3 linked regions of the Saccharomyces cerevisiae S288C genome follow. Changing the gene in region 2 together with the main gene of any one other region gives a genetic interaction. Each region holds a gene or a part of one and is shown on either strand. Other genes may lie near its edges.

Region 1 (5,421 bases), on a different chromosome or scaffold from region 2:
TGCATACAAGTTGTTCGTTTGTTAAGGATGGCTCTGCCAATAGAGGGCAAATTATCCATGGCAAATAATAGGATCGAAAGGTTAAAATCACCCTCGTCTTCATCAACATGCTCAATGGACGAGGTTCTCATTACTTCAAGCAATAACAGCAGCTCTATATGTTTAGAGACCATGCGTCAACTTCCTCGGGAAGGTGTTTCTGGTCAGATAAATATTATCAAGGAAACTGCAGCTTCGTCCTCTTCTCACGCTGCTCTCTTCATCAAGCAAGATCTTTACGAGCATATAGATCCCCTCCCTGCTTATCCACCGAGCTATGATCTAGTAAATCCCAATAAAGAGGTCCGCTTTCCTATATTTGGTGACACGGCACCATGCCCAAAGTCTTCTCTCCCTCCTTTGTATGCACCTGCAGTATATGAATTGACGTTGATATCCTTAAAATTGGAAAGGCTTTCACCTTATGAAATTTCTAGTAACAGGAGCTGGAGGAATTTCATCATTGAAATTAATTCGACTCAACTAAATTTTTACCATATTGACGAATCTTTGACGAAACACATTAGGAATTATTCAAGCGGGGAAACAAAATCTGAAAAAGAGGATAGAATTCATAGTGACTTGGTCCATCGCAGTGATCAATCACAACATCTGCATCACCGTCTCTTCACTCTACCGACGAGATCAGCTTCGGAGTTTAAAAAAGCAGATCAAGAACGGATCTCTTATAGAGTGAAACGTGATCGATCGCGGTATTTAACCGATGAAGCTCTTTACAAGTCTTTCACTTTACAAAATGCAAGATTTGGGATACCAACGGATTATACCAAGAAGAGTTTTGTGTTAAGAATGTCTTGTGAAAGCGAACAGTTTTTATTACGGTTCTCTCATATAGATGATATGATTGACTGGTCTATGTACCTATCAATCGGGATATCTGTGTCTTTGGACTTGGAAGTCAGGGAGTATCCAGATTATCGAATTGTTCCCAGAAGAAGGAGAAGGAGAAGGAGGAGAAGGAGGAGAAGAAGACACACTCATAGAAGTGAGAGTTCGATGGGGTCTTTTTCGCAGAGATTCATTCGTTCGAATTCCAGACCGGACTTAATCCAAAGATATAGTACCGGGTCTAGCACTAATAACAATACAACTATCAGGGAACGCTCGAATACTTTCACAGCTGGTCTACTAGATCATTACTGCACTGGCCTCTCAAAGACGCCTACAGAGGCATTGATATCTTCGGCTGCATCAGGAGAATCCAGTGATAACAGTACCCTGGGATCAACAAGGTCATTATCTGGTTGCTCAGCTTCCCGTTCGATTGCATCTAGAAGTTTAAAATTTAAAATTAAGAACTTTTTCAGGCCTAAAAATTCTTCACGCACAGAAAAGCTTCACAGACTCAGGTCCAACTCAAGTAACTTAAATAGTGTTATTGAAACGGAAGAAGATGATGAACACCATGAATCAAGCGGGGGAGATCATCCAGAGCCTGGTGTTCCAGTAAATACCACCATTAAAGTAGAGCGTCCAATGCACAGAAATAGAGCTATTTCCATGCCCCAAAGACAGTCATTGAGGCGTGCAATTAGCGAGGAGGTTGTCCCCATCAAATTTCCAAATAGCACAGTGGGTGAATCAGTTCATTCACCCTCTCCTATTGAGCATCTTTCCGTTGATGGCTGCGAGATTATGCTGCAATCACAAAATGCGGTTATGAAAGAGGAATTACGGAGTGTTGCGTCGAATTTGGTAGCCAATGAAAGGGATGAGGCATCTATTAGACCTAAACCTCAAAGCTCTTCGATATACCTATCAGGATTAGCTCCTAATGGGGAATCCGCCACAGATTTATCCCAAAGCAGTAGGTCGTTATGTCTCACAAACCGTGACGCTGAAATCAATGACGATGAAAGCGCTACTGAGACCGATGAGGACGAAAATGACGGTGAAACCGATGAATATGCTGGCGATGATACTAATGATGATACTGATGACAGTAATATTGGTTATGCTTATGGCAGTGAAAGTGATTATTCATGTTTAATTGAAGAACGAATAAGAAATCGAAGGCGAGCATCTTCTACTCTAAGTTGCTTCTCCAATATACCTTACGGAACGGATGATATTAAATGGAAACCAGCTATTAAGGAAATTTCAAGAAGGCGTTATTTGAGGGATTCTCTGAAGTGCATCAAACCATTTCTAGATAGTAACGACTGTTTGGGTAAGGTTATCTATATTCCAGTTTCGGGACCAACCTTTGAAACAAGTAATAAAATTCACTTTAGCAACCGCCAGAGCTTACAGAAGCAGAAGAATCATTTTTTAAAAGGCTTCATCGTGGGACCTACGGCGTTGATAGAACTTAATTGTAAAAATAAGAATGCAATTGTTGGAACAACAAAGGACGCTGAAGATCATGGGGAGGACGACGGTGACGGTGATGATGGTGAGGATGATGATGACGACGACGACGATGATGATGATGATGACGACGACGAAGACGACGACGATGATGATGATGATGATGATGACGACGACGATGACGATGATGATGGACAGATTACTGCATAAGCTGTGATGCAGTAATCTTGTTTTTGCAGAATTAATATCATGACTAAAAGTATATATATTATCATCGGATATATGCTACATGATGAGGAGTTTTTCTATTTCTTTTTTATTTCATTCTATACACTTTGGATCGTGTTTTTTCTTTTGCACTTGAGTTTCTTTTCAACATTATCATTCGGTATATTTCACGATTTTGACACCGATGTTTACATAAAAGTGGGTAATTATATTTTGCATTTTCTCGAATTGAGTAAAAATAGTAACCTTTTAAAGAATTCTTCAGAAATGTTAAAGCATTTCCGATTGGCATCATTGATGTATATGTACGTATATACTCAGATGATTTGCCCCTCGTTACTTGGCATCAGGAATTAGCAAGGGCTGTAAAAAATAAGTTTAAATATATATAAATGGTTGCGAACTAAGACAGTATTGTTTTCAACTATTACTTTGTCATTGACTAGTCTATACAAACTAATGATTTTCTACTAGGTCTTACTTCGATTTCTCGACACCGTACTCCAAGAGCTAAAGCTTTCAATACGTATGGATTGCTTCGTTGCTCAGAAAGGTTAACATTAATCATTTTAAGGTTTTTGTTTATAGACAGTACTTTATTTTCGCTTCATTTTTCCAGTTTATATTTCAATTTAACAAAGGCAATGCCTCTAATTTCAAACAAGCAACATAATACAGTATTTATTGATCAACGTTTGATTAGAAGTTGAATTTTGAATGGGTATCGTCTGGTAATTCCAAAGAATAAAAGAAATACCTGTTTTACCATGATAAACAGTGTTTATTATACCACGTTAAAAATCATTTCTTGAAGGTAACGCTTTCATCAACCTATAATAAGACTACAGAAAAAAGCTCATAAAAGAATGCTAAGTAGCATAATGTTCTGAACAAGAGCTCAAAGCAAAGGACACAGTACACCTGTGTGACGGTGAGTTTCCTATTGCCTTCTCTTTTTCCGTTTGTATTAATCTTTTCAAGAAAAAGTTCATTTCCAAAGTGGCCATTTTCGCGATGCACATCAATAATGATAAACACCTTTATTGAATAATAGCGAAGCAAATAGCAGATATTCCCAATAAAACAGCAAATTAATAAAAGGGCATAGACCAAGGAGTACATGCTAATGCTATACCACGAATTGAGGAATTAGAAAGAAAGTTAGCCAATGGACCAGCTAAGTGACAGCTATGCTTTGTACAATCAACCGGTAGTGATCGACAATGGTTCTGGGATCATAAAAGCAGGATTTAGTGGTGAGGAAAGGCCTAAAGCACTGGAATATTGTCTCGTAGGAAATACCAAATATGATAAAGTTATGCTCGAAGGTCTGCAAGGAGATACATTTATTGGAAACAATGCCCAAAAACTGCGTGGATTATTAAAATTACGATACCCCATAAAGCACGGCGTGGTGGAAGATTGGGATTCTATGGAACTAATATGGTCATATGTGTTAAATGAAGTCCTACAGTTGCAAAATATAGGTGAGCATCCTTTATTAATTACGGAAGCCCCGATGAATCCTTTGAAGAATAGAGAGCAGATGGCTCAAGTATTGTTCGAGACCTTTGACGTATCGGCTTTGTACGTTTCAAACCCTGCTGTTCTGTCATTATATGCTAGTGGGAGAACTACAGGTTGTGTAGTTGACTGTGGTGAAGGATACTGTAGCACTGTTCCCATATATGACGGCTTTGCATTACCTGCGTCTATGATGAGGATGGATATTGGAGGAGCAGATATCACAGAGCAGTTACAATTTCAACTACGGAAATCAGCTGGTGTTTCGTTGTTTTCCAGCAGTGAACGAGAGATTGTTCGCACGATGAAAGAGAAAGTTTGTTATTTGGCCAAGAATATTAAAAAGGAAGAGGAGAAATACTTACAAGGTACTCAAGATTTAATCTCGACATTCAAATTGCCCGACGGGAGGTGTATAGAGGTGGGGAATGATCGATATCGTGCTCCAGAAATATTATTTTCACCTCAAATCATCGGCTTAGGGTACGATGGATTATCTGATATGTGCATGCAATCTATTTGGAAAGTCGATCTGGATTTAAGGAAACCTTTACTGTCATCGATAATCCTAAGTGGCGGAACTACAACGCTTAAAGGCTTTGGAGACCGAATGCTATGGGATTTGGAGGCATTAACCAAAGGAACATCCAAGATAAAGATTATAGCCCCTTCAGAAAGAAAATATACTACATGGATTGGTGGTTCTATTTTAACGGGGTTATCTACCTTTCAAAGACTTTGGACCAAAAAGTCAGATTGGCTAGAGGACAGTACCCGTGTTTATTCGAACCTAATGTAAGAAACAGAGTCGTTAGATTTTTCAAGCATATTTGTTATAAATAGCCATTGATACGTTTATATTATTTTTACAAAAAAAGGTAATTAAACATGCATGAACAACAAAATTGATAGTAGAAGAGACGGCAACAAAGGTTTAAAACGAGAAAGGAAATTTAAAACAGTAGAAACCAAAAGTTGATATGCGGCTTCAGCCGTTCTGAACCTTCAAGATGGTGTTCGGGTGTGATTTATTTAAACACAGTAGTATCTGTCACCAAAGTCACCCAACCCTGGAACTAGATACTTGTTTTCATCTAGACCTCTGTCGAGGGCACCAGTAACAATTCTGACCTCTGGGAAGGCGGCATGGTATTTTTCAATCCCTTCCTTACTACAGATTAGGTTTAAGAAGTAAATTCTCTCTGGCTTAACACCTCTCTTAATCAAGACTTCTGTAGCCATGATAGCACTACCACCGGTGGCCAGCATTGGGTCTAATAGGAAGACATACCTTTCAGA
Region 2 (8,880 bases):
ATAGAAACTTCAGCATCCCATATTGGGTTGAATCCATTCCCTTGAGAACTCTTAGTGGATGCTTCAGTGGCAGAAATCCTTGTACCCTTATCGATTGAGATGGGCATTGTCGGCTCGTCATCGGTATGAAACTCCACTTTAACAAAGGAATTGGTGTTATTTCTGCTTGGCGATGTATCATTCAATCTGGGCAATAACTGTGTAGATAAAATTCGAATTTTAACAGTAACAGGATCACTACCATTTTCAAAATGTTCGTAAATTAATGGAATCATTTTCGCCTTTGTTACTACAGGTAGCAACTTTTTTGGTTTTAGCACGTATCCTGATTTAAAACTTCCATCAGGTTGGTGATCTAATATTTGAAACATTGCCAGATTAAGTTGCTGTCCAATATCATTAGTTTGCCAATTCGTAGCCACCATTTGTACACCGGCCTTCCAAAAAGGTATTGGGTTAAAATTTGATGATTTGTATCGTAAAACGTGAGGATAGACTCTCATCAAATATCTTCTATTATGTTTATCCAACGATAATTTTAAGTGTTTGTCTTTTATCATGTATTCTACTTTGCGCTCATTCAGTGAAAAACAATGCGCTATCGTTTTGGACTCTGGTAAAGAGAAATTCCTGAACTTGATGCCATGTATTCCAGAAATGTTAGAAACATCATTAATTATATCAGCGTGCTTTTTTAATCCAATTCTTTTGATGCGTTGCATACTAGAAGAATTTGTTGCGCTACTACTGTTCGTGGAGTCATCTTTCATTCTTAATTCCTGTTCATTAGCTGATTCGTAAGAAGAACTAAAAGAAGATGGAAATGGCTCATTAACGCTAAGACCTCTAGTTGCTTCACTCGTCTTCTTGGATTTCAACAGTATTTTATGTTTTAATTCCCTTGGTGATGGCAGTTTATCAGTTCTTGTGCCAACAAAGTACAGCTGTTCTGCTAAAACCTCTCTCATTATCAGGCTTGCCAATTTTTGATTATCCTTGTTACAGTTTATTTCCAGTGAAATAATCAAAGGATACGGAGACGTTATAAAAGCGTACTTCTTTATCACGCGTATAACTGTTTTTAAGGGAATAGCTGACGTTAAAAATCCATGGCATACCACTGGCCCATTTTCACCATCCCATATATCAATTTCTACGCACCTACAACCTTGTTGTAGGACTTGAATATATCCCTCCACAGATGGAGTTTCTGCAATTTGTTTCCCCAATAAATAAGTATTATGTGAAGATGCAATAAAATAATGGTTTAATGGCTTTGAATATAACTCCTCTTTAACCTCCACCAAATATGGTTGCTCCTTCAAGAACTTGGTAAAACCATCTTGCCCCATCGTCAGCTGAGTCGGTTCTCTGTACTTAATAAAATATGACCATGCAGTTTGACGATCCACTTGCTCATGCTGCTCTGTAATTAAAAATTGAAAAAAATTTTCAAATGATAAGTGGGAGTGTGGAGGTTTTGTAAATTTAGACCAAATCATATTTACCTCTTTCCTATTCTTTAAGATTTTAATGAACTTTTCAAATTCAAAATAATTTAATAGTCCGTTATGATTGATGTCTGCTAATTGGAAAAACTCTAACAATTGACCAGTTGACACATAAATATGAAATTTATCACATAGTTTCTTCACATCTGCAAAGCTCAATGTGTCCTTTTTCTCATCTTCCTCTTTTTCAGAAACAGTAATTTGCCAATGTATCCTAGCGAATTGCGAATTATCAGGCAAAAGTATGCTTTCCATTAATTCCCTCCTTAACTTCACTAAACCGCAAATGCAGCTTAAGAATGTGTTAAAGTCCAATTCATTCAAAGCAACTACGTGTAACGCTTTCAATTTGTTGGAAACCTTATAAATAATAGCAATCCAAAGTTTACTGTCCGATCTCAATCTTTTCGGATCTACTTCCTCTTGATAAGTACTCGCCGTATCACCGATTCTGATGTCTTTAACGGAGTCTAATTCCAGATACTTCGAACCATCTTTCCATATTATTTGCCCGTTGTTATTGATTAATTTAAATTCATAGAACTTCCTTCTTCTTCTTGTCATCCTAATCATCCTGATTCCTCTTTGCAATACGCGACATAGCGTGCTGAGATCACAGTCTTTTCTTAATTTCTTGTTAACAAGCTCATTTATCCCATGTGAATAAGTAAGAGGCCCCATATGGACTCTAGGCAATTCGGCTGCTCTTCTAAAAATCGACCTTATGCTTCTTCTCACAGTACTTCCATTGTTCGCGCTTTTTTGGTCAGTATTAAAAGAGGATTGAAAAGAACTGTAACTTATAAAATCTAAAGCATCATCCTTTTGTGTTATTTTCCCTTGATCTCTGCATGAGTGTCGTTGTAACTCCTTTGTAAGATTAAACCTTTGGTCATCTATAGCACTTTCAGTCATTCATATACACTGCGTGAATGACCTTACCGTTGTACGTTTATAATTCCCAGTCTTTTATTGTTTTAATGACCTGAGGCTGCTTATGTCGTGATGCTTATACTATTTTTTTTATAAAGCGTCGGGTAAAGGTGTCAAAAACTGTAAAATGAAAACGTGCGGAATCTTCATGGACTATTTAAAATTACACATAATATTACATTATTTAAACTAGTATTACAAATTCTATGAATGGAGAGGGTGAGAGGGAGGATATATAAAAATGTATAAGTATACAGTTTTAGGTTAGTATCAATAAGTTGGGGTTTTATCTAAACGCCCTTCTCTTGGTGAAAGTAACTGTGATAAGGGGGTGGGAGGCCTCAATCGGGTTCTTCTTCTTGTCGAAGGGACCCAAACTTGACTATTAGGTGTCGTGATTTTTGTTGGCGGAGTCTGGAAAACCTTTGCTATCGGTGTGTTTTCTACGGTGACTTTCACCACTTTATCCTTGTATATAGGGATCCTAGAGGGCAAGGACCGGTAATGATTCCATTTATCTTTTTCGATGTCAAGCACAGACTTATTCTTTGCCATCAAAGGAGTTTCTGTAATCTGTACTTTATTTTCATGCCGAGATGTAATGAAGGAGTCTGGTGACTTTTCATTTTCCCCACGAGAAACACGGAGGGTGGTTTCATCGGTTTCGTCATAAGGTAAGGGAGGAACACTACTTAGTATCAGTTTTCCTTTGTTTGGCGACTCCGGATCAAAAAATGGATTAATCGCATTTGATGAATTTGGGCTTGTTGCAGGTTTAATATTCATCTTCTGCAGTAACGCTTTACCAAGCTTTTTACCTTTCAAAGCCACTGTAGTTGAATTTTCCGGTGTTTTATTACTGTCACCTTCATTAATGGCGACTCTCTCCTGGAAATCCTGGGTTATAGTTCCAATAACACTATTCGGTCGCCCAAAGCCTAATGATTTCGGTTTTGGAATCTTCTTCTTGCTAGTAGCTATTTTGTTTGAAGCGGAGGATTTGATTAGAATTTTATCCGCTGTAGGCTTGATATTCAGCCATCTTTGAGCTAATTCATTTGTCTTCGATGCGACGCCAGCGTCCAAAAGTGAGAATTCCAATGCTCTGTAAATAATATTGAATGTCTTAGAAACAGTTTTTGATTTTCTCTCCAATTGCCTCTCGAGCCTTATAGTGATATCTTTGGTATACTTTGTTGTCAGTAATTTCGACTGCAACCTTTCTATCTCATCAAGAATGTATAATAGTTCATGATTTAAATTAATAAAGAGTATATTCCAACGTTTGTCGATTAGTTCGACTTTCAATTCCCTAAACTCTGAATTCATAAATCTATAATCTTTCATTATCAGCTCGTATTTTTTTTGCAAGATTGTTTGCAAAGTAGTTATGTTTGTTATATTCCGGTGCCCAAATTGCACAATTCTTTGAGGTAGGATATCAGTCAAACTTTTTTCAATTGGAGGGATATTTTTTTTTAGGTTCAAGAACTTTCTTGATAAAATATCTTCTGCCGGAGAAAATTTTGGTACCTTTGGCTCAGTTGTCTCCGTATGCGTTCCTAATAACTTGACTAGTTGTTCTAGGGTAAATGATGGAGTATGCCGTATCGGGGACGCGAACCTTTCTTCCTGAATTTCCAGACAATACGATATATTGCTATTAATGATTTTATGTAATGTATCCATATGATCCTTTGAAATTTCGTTAAATTCCAATGACGTATCCAATAATTCCTTCAAGTTAGTAAGCCATGGCTCCAACTGAGTCTTAATTTGTGTAGATTCTTCTATGACGTCAAACATCGGGCTAAATCGATTGTATTTGTCGCTATCCTGATCGTCCTTCGAGAATTCATCCTCTAGTAAATCCAACAAATGAGCAAAACCTTCCTCAATATTATGAACGTCACTAATAAATTGATATAGCATATATTTTTTCAATAATAACCAGTCCATAAACAACAAAATATCGTCTTTTCCCAGTCTTTTCTTGTTGACTAAGTCGGGAATTACCGAGGCAACGTTCTCCAAATCATCATAAAATTGAACTAACAATGTCTCTGATATACTTGTGGTACTCTCATTCAATGAGTTGCAATCGTTTATTGAATGTAATGTATTGTGAATTCTTTCTAAACGTTCACAAAAGTTCTCTTGGAAGTCATCCCCAATGGTCATAGATCTGGGTCCATCATTATCCATGGCAGTGCTACTGAAATCTTTAAGGCTGTTACAGACAAAGATTCGTGCGGCCACATTACACTTTGTTATTGTTTCAATGTTATTTGTTTATGCTACCAAAAGTATCGATTCGGGTAATGAAAATCCTTTTTATTTGGCATTTAACAGTATTATATATAGTATATATTTAAATGTGCGAGATAAGAATGGGTATATGCGATGCGGATGACTCACGGTTGTGGTGTGATCTTAATTGGATTAGCCTCCTTTGCCGCGTCTTTCAGGAGATGTTCGACAGATTTTTCAATATCATCTGAATTATTGTCTTTCGTCTCTGGAGACTGGTTATTGCTGTCGTTATCATGATTATTATCATTATCGTCATTATCGTCCTTTTTCTGGTCATCATGCTCCTTACTCTCATTCAAATCTTCCTTTTCGATGACCTTCTCTATTTGCAGTTGTTGGTCAGATGGCCCAGGAGCCGCTTTCTCATTAAGTAATTGCGATAAAGCACTTGTTGGATTCGCATACAATTCTTTGAATTTGCCCATTTCTACCACTGATCCATCATGGCCAAGGACAATAACATTCTCTGATCTTCTGATCGTACTTAGCCTGTGCGCGATGCTAACAATAGTCATCGATTTTGATTTCATTAGTTGACCAAACGTATAGTTAATGGCTCCTTCACTTTCAACATCTAAAGCTGATGTAGCTTCATCAAGAATCAAAATAGTTGGCTTTTTGATTAGAGCCCTTGCAATCGCAATACGCTGCTTTTGTCCTCCACTTAGTAAGGTGCCGTGAGGACCAATTACCGTATCGTATGTGTTCGGAAATTTTGTGATAAAGTTATGGCAAAAGCACTGCTTTGCTACTGACCTGATTTCTTCCTTTGTTGGGGTATATGTCAACCCATAAGTGATATTATCCCTAATAGTACCTGACATCAGTACCGGCTCTTGCTGAACGATACCAATATGCCTTCTTAGGGATTTACAATTCAATTTAGAGATATCTTGGTTATCTATCGTAATAGTCCCAGTAGTGGGATTATAATATCTTAGCAGTAAGAGTGCAATTGTAGATTTACCACGACCTGAAGGGCCCACAATACAAACACTCGATCCTGGCGCAATTTTAAAATTTAAATTCTTGAATATTTGAACAGAAGGCCTTGTAGGGTAGCTAAATGAAACATCTTTAAATTCGATAACACCACGATCTGGTTTATACTTGTGTCCCACAGTCGGTGAAATGGAAGGTTTCCTATCTGTTAATTCAAACAACCTGGAAGCGGCCCCAGCACCCTGCATAATTTCCGAATAGAAGGTAGAAAGGCCGAATACCGCATTCCCCGTATATTCTGTGTACAGCATAAATGCAGTCAGATCACCAATGGAGAGCTGTGATTGTAAAACAAGATAGGAGCCATACGCAAGGACGGTTAAAAAACTTAGGTCACCTAAGAGACTAGTTGTAGTAAAAAACTTTGCGTTTGTAAATGCCGCAGTTTTTCCCACCTGAAAAATATCTCTAATTGCAACGTTATACCTAGACAATTCATTACCTTCAGCAACAAACGACTGAACCGTCTTGATACCAGAGAGTTGTTCTTCAGCGACTCTAGTCAATTGACCAGTAGCTTCTTGAAGGTCTTTAGAGGTGTTTCTAATTTGCTTCCCGAACACTGAGGCACTAAAAAGAACAGGTGGAGTGAAGAATAGTAACAATATTGATAGTTGAGGTGACAAAGAACACATCATCCCCACGCCAACAACCCCACAAATTAGGGCTTTGACCCCATCCGAGACCTTCTGGGTCATTGATCTTGAAACAACATAAGCATCAGATCCTAAACGAGAAATTAAATCCCCAACTTTATGGTTGTCGAAGAATTCTGCGTCTTGATGAAGCGTTTTTTTAATGACATTTGCCCTTAGGCGTGCAACAACACGCTCACTTAGTATCCTCAATAATATAAATCTACCAAAATTAGCAGCACAACCAATCAGTAAAGCAACAGTAAAAAAGGAAAGAAACTCATATAAAGGCAAAGAAAAAATCGGTATCTTCAAATCAAAAAAATCTGATCCAGATGACGTCTTAAGTGTGTCAAGGACAATACCTATGACTTTAGGAATAGACATGCCTATGGAACATGATATGGTTAAAAGAAGTATGGCTGTAAGAAGCAGTTTCCAATCCCGTTTCGCCAACATAAATAACCTTATTATATCTTTATAGTCATCAGTTTTAGATTGCTCCTTTGCATGTGCCGACCTTGCTGATCCTTTAGATATGGGAGAGGCTGAAGGCAGAGAAGTTTCTGGAACTGTTTTGGATGAATTACATCTAAAACTTTGTAAAATTAGTGATTTTCCAACTGCAGGTGACCTTAAACACAACCGACTGAGAGGAATGAGCTGCGATGAAGAAGGGGTGACCAAAGACCGAAACCTTATAGATGGCAGTTTAGCCAGTCGGGGACGGGACAGCATGTTTCTGCATATGCCCAGCCGCAAAAGTGGTAAACGACCATTCAACATTGCGATTGGCGATGATGGGACATATATTTCTTTTTCTTTTAATGCAATGATACAAACTTTATACCACTCTTCGAAGCGGCCAGTATTCAATATCATTGTAGTCATTATTAGTTTCCCGTATAAAAGTACGTAAGTTTTCATACACAGTTGCTAGAATATTTAAAATGTATATCAGCGAGTAAAAAAAGAGCTGCAGTTCCCAGGAAGCGTTAAACTATTTTGTTATTGGAGTGGGTTCAGAAGCTGCAGTGCCATTTTTATATTGGGTATAAAAAGCATCTGTTTGCGATCTGTTAAGAACACTAGCGGTTTGTAATTCAGTTTTCAATGAAGAACGGATAGCCTGAGCGGCCACATTCAAATATGCAGCATATGATATACCAGCTTTCCTCCAGGCAGACATTTTATGAATCGGTTGTGGGCTGAAACTGTTGATGTTTCTTAGAAATACATATCTTGCTAAGTACTCAATAGAAAGGCCTACTTGTATCTCTTCATTTAACTAGACGAAAAAGGGGAGGATCAAATTTCATTGGTTCGTATAAAAGTATTAAAAAATAAGCGCGTTGCCAGACTTAGTGTGAGATAGTAAGCTAGTAAATCATCTGCTATTACCTAGTTTAGCGTATTTCCTAATAAGGATTACCAATTCCTCAAGTTCATGGCTTGGTAAGATACAGCTATAGCTTTCTTAGTTTTTTTCTTCGAGAGAACTAGTACAATGCTTCTATAGAAGTTAAGAAGTTTACCTTTTCGAAGAACAAATATATTGTTGCTTTGCTTACTCCGAGGTTATCGACTATTTTTGGCAATCCGTTTGAACCTGGATAAATACGTAAATCAGACTTTCTTTAGCCGGATCAACTCTTTTTTTTTTGTAAGCACTCTGACTTGTCGCTGCTGTGTCTGCCAATAATTCAATAATTCATAGTATTTCATACCATATGCTTTATTTAGTGTCCCACTGATGTGAGTTGAAGAATTGTATTCAGATAGGCATATCTTAAGGTCCAACTATTGCCACCGTCGTAGTGCGGAAAGGTTGATTATCGAGCGAATTAGAGGAATAAATGCTGCTATGCGCACGATGAGCAAATCGGAAGTAAACCACGCCGCTGATCCACCTGAACAAAAGAATCTCGCGGAGTTACGATTTAATGTAGGTTTGCTCAGATTACGTTACTGATACTTTACTTTGGACAAAAGTTCTCATACAAACTGTGGAAACAACACCGCTTAAACCAACGATTATGAAATGACATGGTCTAAAGTAATATAATCTATATTAGAATGTGCAGATGGCTATGGTATCCATGCGATGGCAAACCTCCGCAATGATTGGCGTTCTAGCGGCTATCCGAATTCACAATCGACAAGAAGTACTTCTAACTTACACAAGGCAACGAAATAATATCACTCTATGAAACTGCCATTTGGGTAATAGGAGTATATTGAACGACACCGGGTCAACAAGCAACTTTCCTAAGCCTTTTACACTTCTTCACATCATTCAAGATCGCCTTTTAACGAGCTACAAACCTTCACGTTCGTTCTTCTATGGAAACGTTTAAGATAACGTTAAAACGTTCTCAATCACAGAATTTAAGATGATTAGAAATGTTTTCCAAGGGATAGGGCGAAGCACAACCTCGAAAAATGGCAAAATTTTAGAATCTTAGCCACCTTAACGTCTACTTAGA
Region 3 (5,056 bases), on a different chromosome or scaffold from region 2:
AATGTTAATAAATTCTTGGATTTAAGTAGTGAAATTAGCGAAGGTGGATCCAATTTGTCTCAAGGACAGCGCCAATTGATGTGCCTTGCTAGATCTTTACTGAGGAGTCCAAAGATCATATTGCTGGACGAAGCTACAGCGTCCATCGACTACAGTTCCGATGCGAAGATCCAAGAAACCATAAGAAAAGAGTTCCAAGGTAGTACAATTTTGACAATTGCACATAGGTTGAGATCTGTTATCGATTATGATAAAATTTTGGTGATGGATGCAGGTGAGGTAAAAGAGTATGATCACCCATATTCTTTGTTACTTAACAAACAAAGTGCCTTTTATAGCATGTGTGAGCATAGTGGAGAATTGGATATCCTAATTGAATTGGCTAAAAAAGCCTTTGTGGAAAAATTGAACTCTAAAAAGGACTAGCTGTTTCGATGCTAAAGTATATATATATATATATATATATATATATATATATATATGTATATACGCACACATGTTCACGTACTATAAATTACCTTTTGTAAATTCAACAGCCTCTTTTTCTGGAACTGGAAGAATCCGTTAACTTCAATATTCCAGTCGATGAAACGGTTTAGAATTGCAATTGACCTCAAAATCATTATGTTGCAGTTATCCACCAACTCGGGTAACTTCTTCAACTGTTTCGTTTCAATATTTGCGTCTTTGAAGGAAATCTGATCCAATGAACTTTTACTGATTTGGCAAAACTCCATATATTGGCTGTTTAGTTCGTCAAATGCACTATATAATGTATAAATATCGTCAAAGCAACTAGCAAAAATACAAATATCATCAGGAGCTCCCACGTTCTCGATGTCTTCAGCCATGAAAGTATTAAAGAGTTGCAGGAGATCTTGAGAATACTTTAGACCCTGGAAATATAGACGATGTAACTGATTGTATAGTTCATCTAATTGCACTGAAACATCGGAATTCGCGCTGTATCCGGCGCCTATAAGCCGCTCCAATCGGTCACACCTGTATTCTAAAGCTTCAACAAGCTTAAGACCAGGCATCAAACTTCCTTTGGTAGAGGCTAATGGCCTTGGAAGCTCGAGAGAACATTCTATAAGTTCATCAATCACTTATACTATATGCAGTACCTCTAAATTACCTAATATCCGGGTAATAAGAACAATATTCGGGTGACGCCGCCCCTGTTTGATGACAAAATTGGAAGAAAAAGAGGAAACAAGAAAAGACTGGTTAGCAACTACGTAAACTTCAGATTTCAAAACATACATAAACAAAAAACTAACAAAAGAAGATGTCTAGATCTGGGTATGCTAAATTTCATTTGTACTCCTGTGTAAACTATCAATTACTAACTAATTGACATGATGCTGTTTTATCTCGCTCTCTTATGTCCTTTCTTTCCTCCCTTTTTAACATGGAACTTTAAAAGGAATGTGGGGGAAAAAATTCATAAGAAGCCAGGAAAATGTGAAGTTTCTGTGTAGTGTTGCTGTTGCTGATGAATCCCTTACCGCTTTCAATGACTTGAAATTGGGTAAAAAATACAAATTTATTTTATTCGGATTGAACGATGCTAAAACCGAAATCGTTGTCAAGGAAACCTCTACTGACCCATCTTACGATGCCTTCTTAGAGAAATTGCCAGAAAACGACTGTCTTTACGCCATTTACGATTTTGAATACGAAATTAATGGTAATGAAGGTAAGAGATCCAAGATTGTTTTCTTCACTTGGTCTCCAGACACTGCTCCAGTCAGATCTAAGATGGTCTATGCATCCTCCAAGGATGCCTTAAGAAGAGCCTTAAACGGTGTCTCTACCGATGTTCAAGGTACTGATTTTTCCGAAGTTTCTTACGATTCTGTTTTGGAAAGAGTCAGCAGAGGCGCTGGTTCTCATTAAGGTAAATGATTTCACAAATGACAACAATCTTCAAGAAAAATGAAAATGTATATCTATATATAAAATCGTCATATATATACAGAATACATGTATAGAATTATTATAATTATAATTTTCTCTTCGCAACTCTATCTAAAACACAATACTTAGATTTAAGGTCCCGTACACCCCGGCTAGTGGGCATTGTTTTTGCACCCATATTTGTAATTCTAAATTCAGAACGGAAATACTGGCCATGTAGATCAAGAAAAGATACAAGGTCATCGAACCAGGCAGCAATGATTTTTCTATAATCTTCTAAAGTGAAGCATGACGACCATAGCTCGTTGAATATGCATAGAACGCTTCTGTTTTTAACGTGGCTGATATCTTTAACAAAGGCTTTTAATATAAAATTACCACACACTGAAAAAAAAGACCATTTGGAATCCAACGCTGTGCTGGCATGCGCATCCTATATAAATACTCTGAAGTGGTCATTTGATAGCTCCGTCGTACCGGGTTTCTATTCTACCATATGCTCTTATTCACCAGCGTTTGATACTTGGTCACTTTGTATCTTCAATTCGCTTACAGACCAGATTATTCCCATGGACAACACAAGTTTCGAAGAAAGCTTGGGTAACGTACGAAAAACGTGCTCGTTTGTCGATAAAAAGTTTAGCAATATTTCACTGGAGCAATACTACTCATCTTTAAATAATGCTTCTTCTCACGCTTTGGAAGACTATGGTTCTATTGAAAGTTTATCGACATCCATTCGAGTCGATCGTGAGACAAGATCTAGATGGATACGAGCTTTTCATGCGCATGCCTATAATTTAGATATCAGCAGTGTTTATGGTGCATATTTAACTTACTACTTCGTCATAGTGGGTATTATCGCCGTCTTCTTCCATATGAGTCACTATAACGGCCTGAATCGAGCGCTATTTGCAAGCCGGTTCGTCAATTATATTCGGGGCCATTTTGTGTTGCCTACGTTTTTAGTAGATAAGCACGCTAATCACTTCAAGTTTCTAAACGTGGAAGTCTTTACGGGACTGATGCCGAATTCCTTGGAGGCATGGATCATTTTTGGATACACATTGGCGAACATCATATTTTTGTCCATAAGTTACATCATAGACCCATATAACCTCATTTTCAACAGTCACCTGTCGCAGTTTACAAGACTGTTGGCTGATAGATCTGGGATACTGGCGTTTACTCAGTTCCCTCTCATTATCATTTTTACGGCAAGGAATAGTTTTCTCGAATTTTTAACAGGAGTCAAGTTCAATTCCTTTATTAGTTTCCATAAATGGATCGGTAGAATCATGGTCTTAAACGCAACGATACATTCGCTTTCTTATTCATTATTCGCAATTATCAACCATGCCTTCAAAATAAGCAACAAACAGCTCTATTGGAAGTTTGGTATTGCATCCATAACAGTGCTTTGCGTTCTACTAGTTCTATCGCTCGGAATAGTAAGGAAAAGACATTACGAATTTTTCCTGTACACCCACATCATACTAGCCCTTTTGTTCTTTTACTGTTGTTGGCAACACGTCAAAATTTTCAACGGTTGGAAAGAATGGATAGTGGTATCCTTGCTCATTTGGGGGCTGGAAAAGCTTTTCAGAATATGGAACATTTTGCAGTTTAGATTTCCGAAAGCAACACTAATCAATTTGAACACCAGCAACAACCCGCACGATGAAATGTTTAAAGTAATCATACCCAAATATAACCGGAGATGGCATTCGAAACCGGGTCAATATTGTTTCATTTATTTTTTACATCCATTGGTATTTTGGCAATGCCATCCATTTACCATTATCGACGAAGGTGAGAAGTGTGTTTTAGTGATCAAACCTAAAAGTGGTCTCACTAGATTCATTTATAACCATATTTTGCAATCTTTAAATGGTAAATTACAACTCCGAGTGGCCATTGAGGGACCTTATGGGCCCAGTAATCTTCACCTCGATAAATTCGACCATTTGCTGTTACTAAGTGGAGGAACAGGCTTGCCTGGTCCATTAGATCATGCCATTAAGCTGTCACGAAACCCTGATAAACCCAAGAGTATAGATTTGATCATGGCGATCAAAAATCCTTCTTTTCTTAACGGCTATAAATCCGAGATACTAGAGCTAAAAAATAGCCGATCCCACGTCAACGTGCAGGTTTACCTTACACAGAAAACAGCTGTTACAAAGGCAGCAAACGCACGAGACCAATTAATACATTTTGATGATATAATGACCGAACTGACAAGCTTCGCCCACATCGGCAATGCAAGACCTAATTTTAGCAATGTAATTGAAAACGCAATAAAAAGTACGCCGCCTGGAGATTCATTAGCGGTCGTGTGCTGCGGCCCTCCTGTTCTGGTGGACGATGTTAGAAACACCGTTTCTCAAAAACTCCTCGGTTACCCAGAGAGAATTATAGAGTATTTCGAGGAATATCAGTGTTGGTAAATCTTCTCTCCGGCTCCTTCTGATCCTACGCCCACCTATATCTACATATATCTACGGCACTAAAAACTTTTATGTACCGCATAAAAGGTGCTCTTTAGCAACTATTTTTAGTTAATTATTTGCGTTTTAGCTTTCAGGAATTTGCTTGCTAAGACGATGTCTAATAAATCCGGTACTTCTTTACTTGCAATTAATTACTAAGCGGCGCCTGAATTTTTCCGGCTTGATGCCGAGCAAAAATTAACTCTAAATCCCTTTCTGGGAACGAGTCTTTGAAGTTCTACGGTCTTTTGTCTCAGGAAAATATGTCCCGAGAAAGATGGAATAAGTATGGATTTTGTCCTTAACCAGTGGAGGTGGCGCTGCAGTCCTTCTTTTCAGACCCAAGCAAACAGACCAAAGGACATTTTTTTGGAAAATGTTAAGAATCAACCCTCCGAAATCTTTTCACGGCTCAAATTACTGCGGCCTTTTTCTGCTTCTTAAAAATGGGAGCATGATTATTTAATTAGCATTGCATCTGCGTGCACCGTAACTACTACAGTACTTTTACTGCCGCTGAGACGACAGCACGATCTGTTTTAACGTCGTAGGTGTATTTTTTTTTTTCCCGCTAAAAGAGCACCGCCATAATAATGACTTACCTCCTCCAATCCTTCTAGATGTTTTTCTTTAAACTCCTA

Evidence for each region. A genetic interaction does not mean that the proteins touch.
Region 1: mutations in KAR9 (region 2) and ARP1 are lethal when combined (synthetic lethality), as found in Saccharomyces cerevisiae (7 studies listed by BioGRID, with this or other methods).
Region 3: mutations in KAR9 (region 2) and LDB18 together harm fitness more than expected from each alone (negative genetic interaction), as found in Saccharomyces cerevisiae (6 studies listed by BioGRID, with this or other methods).

What each region holds. Positions count from the first base shown.
Region 1 is NC_001140.6:362,499-367,919, reverse strand, and holds ARP1 (actin-related protein 1), read left to right. Parts: upstream 1-3,766; coding exon 3,767-4,921; downstream 4,922-5,421. Other genes in the region: YHR131C (uncharacterized protein), read left to right, coding at 28-2,580; YHR130C (uncharacterized protein), read left to right, coding at 2,620-2,955; FUR1 (uracil phosphoribosyltransferase), read right to left, coding at 5,155-5,421. UniProt on the Saccharomyces cerevisiae protein: Core component of the dynactin complex which assists cytoplasmic dynein by increasing its processivity and by regulation of its cargo binding.
Region 2 is NC_001148.4:28,782-37,661, reverse strand, and holds KAR9 (Kar9p), read right to left. Parts: upstream 4,650-8,880; coding exon 2,715-4,649; downstream 1-2,714. Other genes in the region: PLC1 (phosphatidylinositol phospholipase C), read right to left, coding at 1-2,426; ATP-binding cassette permease MDL2, read right to left, coding at 4,859-7,180; ATP15 (F1F0 ATP synthase subunit epsilon), read right to left, coding at 7,395-7,583. UniProt on the Saccharomyces cerevisiae protein: Involved in karyogamy. Component of a cortical adaptor complex that orients cytoplasmic microtubules. It may be involved in anchoring cytoplasmic microtubules to the cell cortex.
Region 3 is NC_001144.5:36,650-41,705, reverse strand, and holds LDB18 (Ldb18p), read right to left. Parts: upstream 1,041-5,056; coding exon 501-1,040; downstream 1-500. Other genes in the region: bile acid-transporting ATPase YBT1, read left to right, coding at 1-426; COF1 (cofilin), read left to right, coding at 1,292-1,305, 1,485-1,902; FRE6 (putative ferric-chelate reductase), read left to right, coding at 2,235-4,373. UniProt on the Saccharomyces cerevisiae protein: May be involved in protein-linked oligosaccharide phosphorylation since the deletion reduces the negative charge of the cell surface.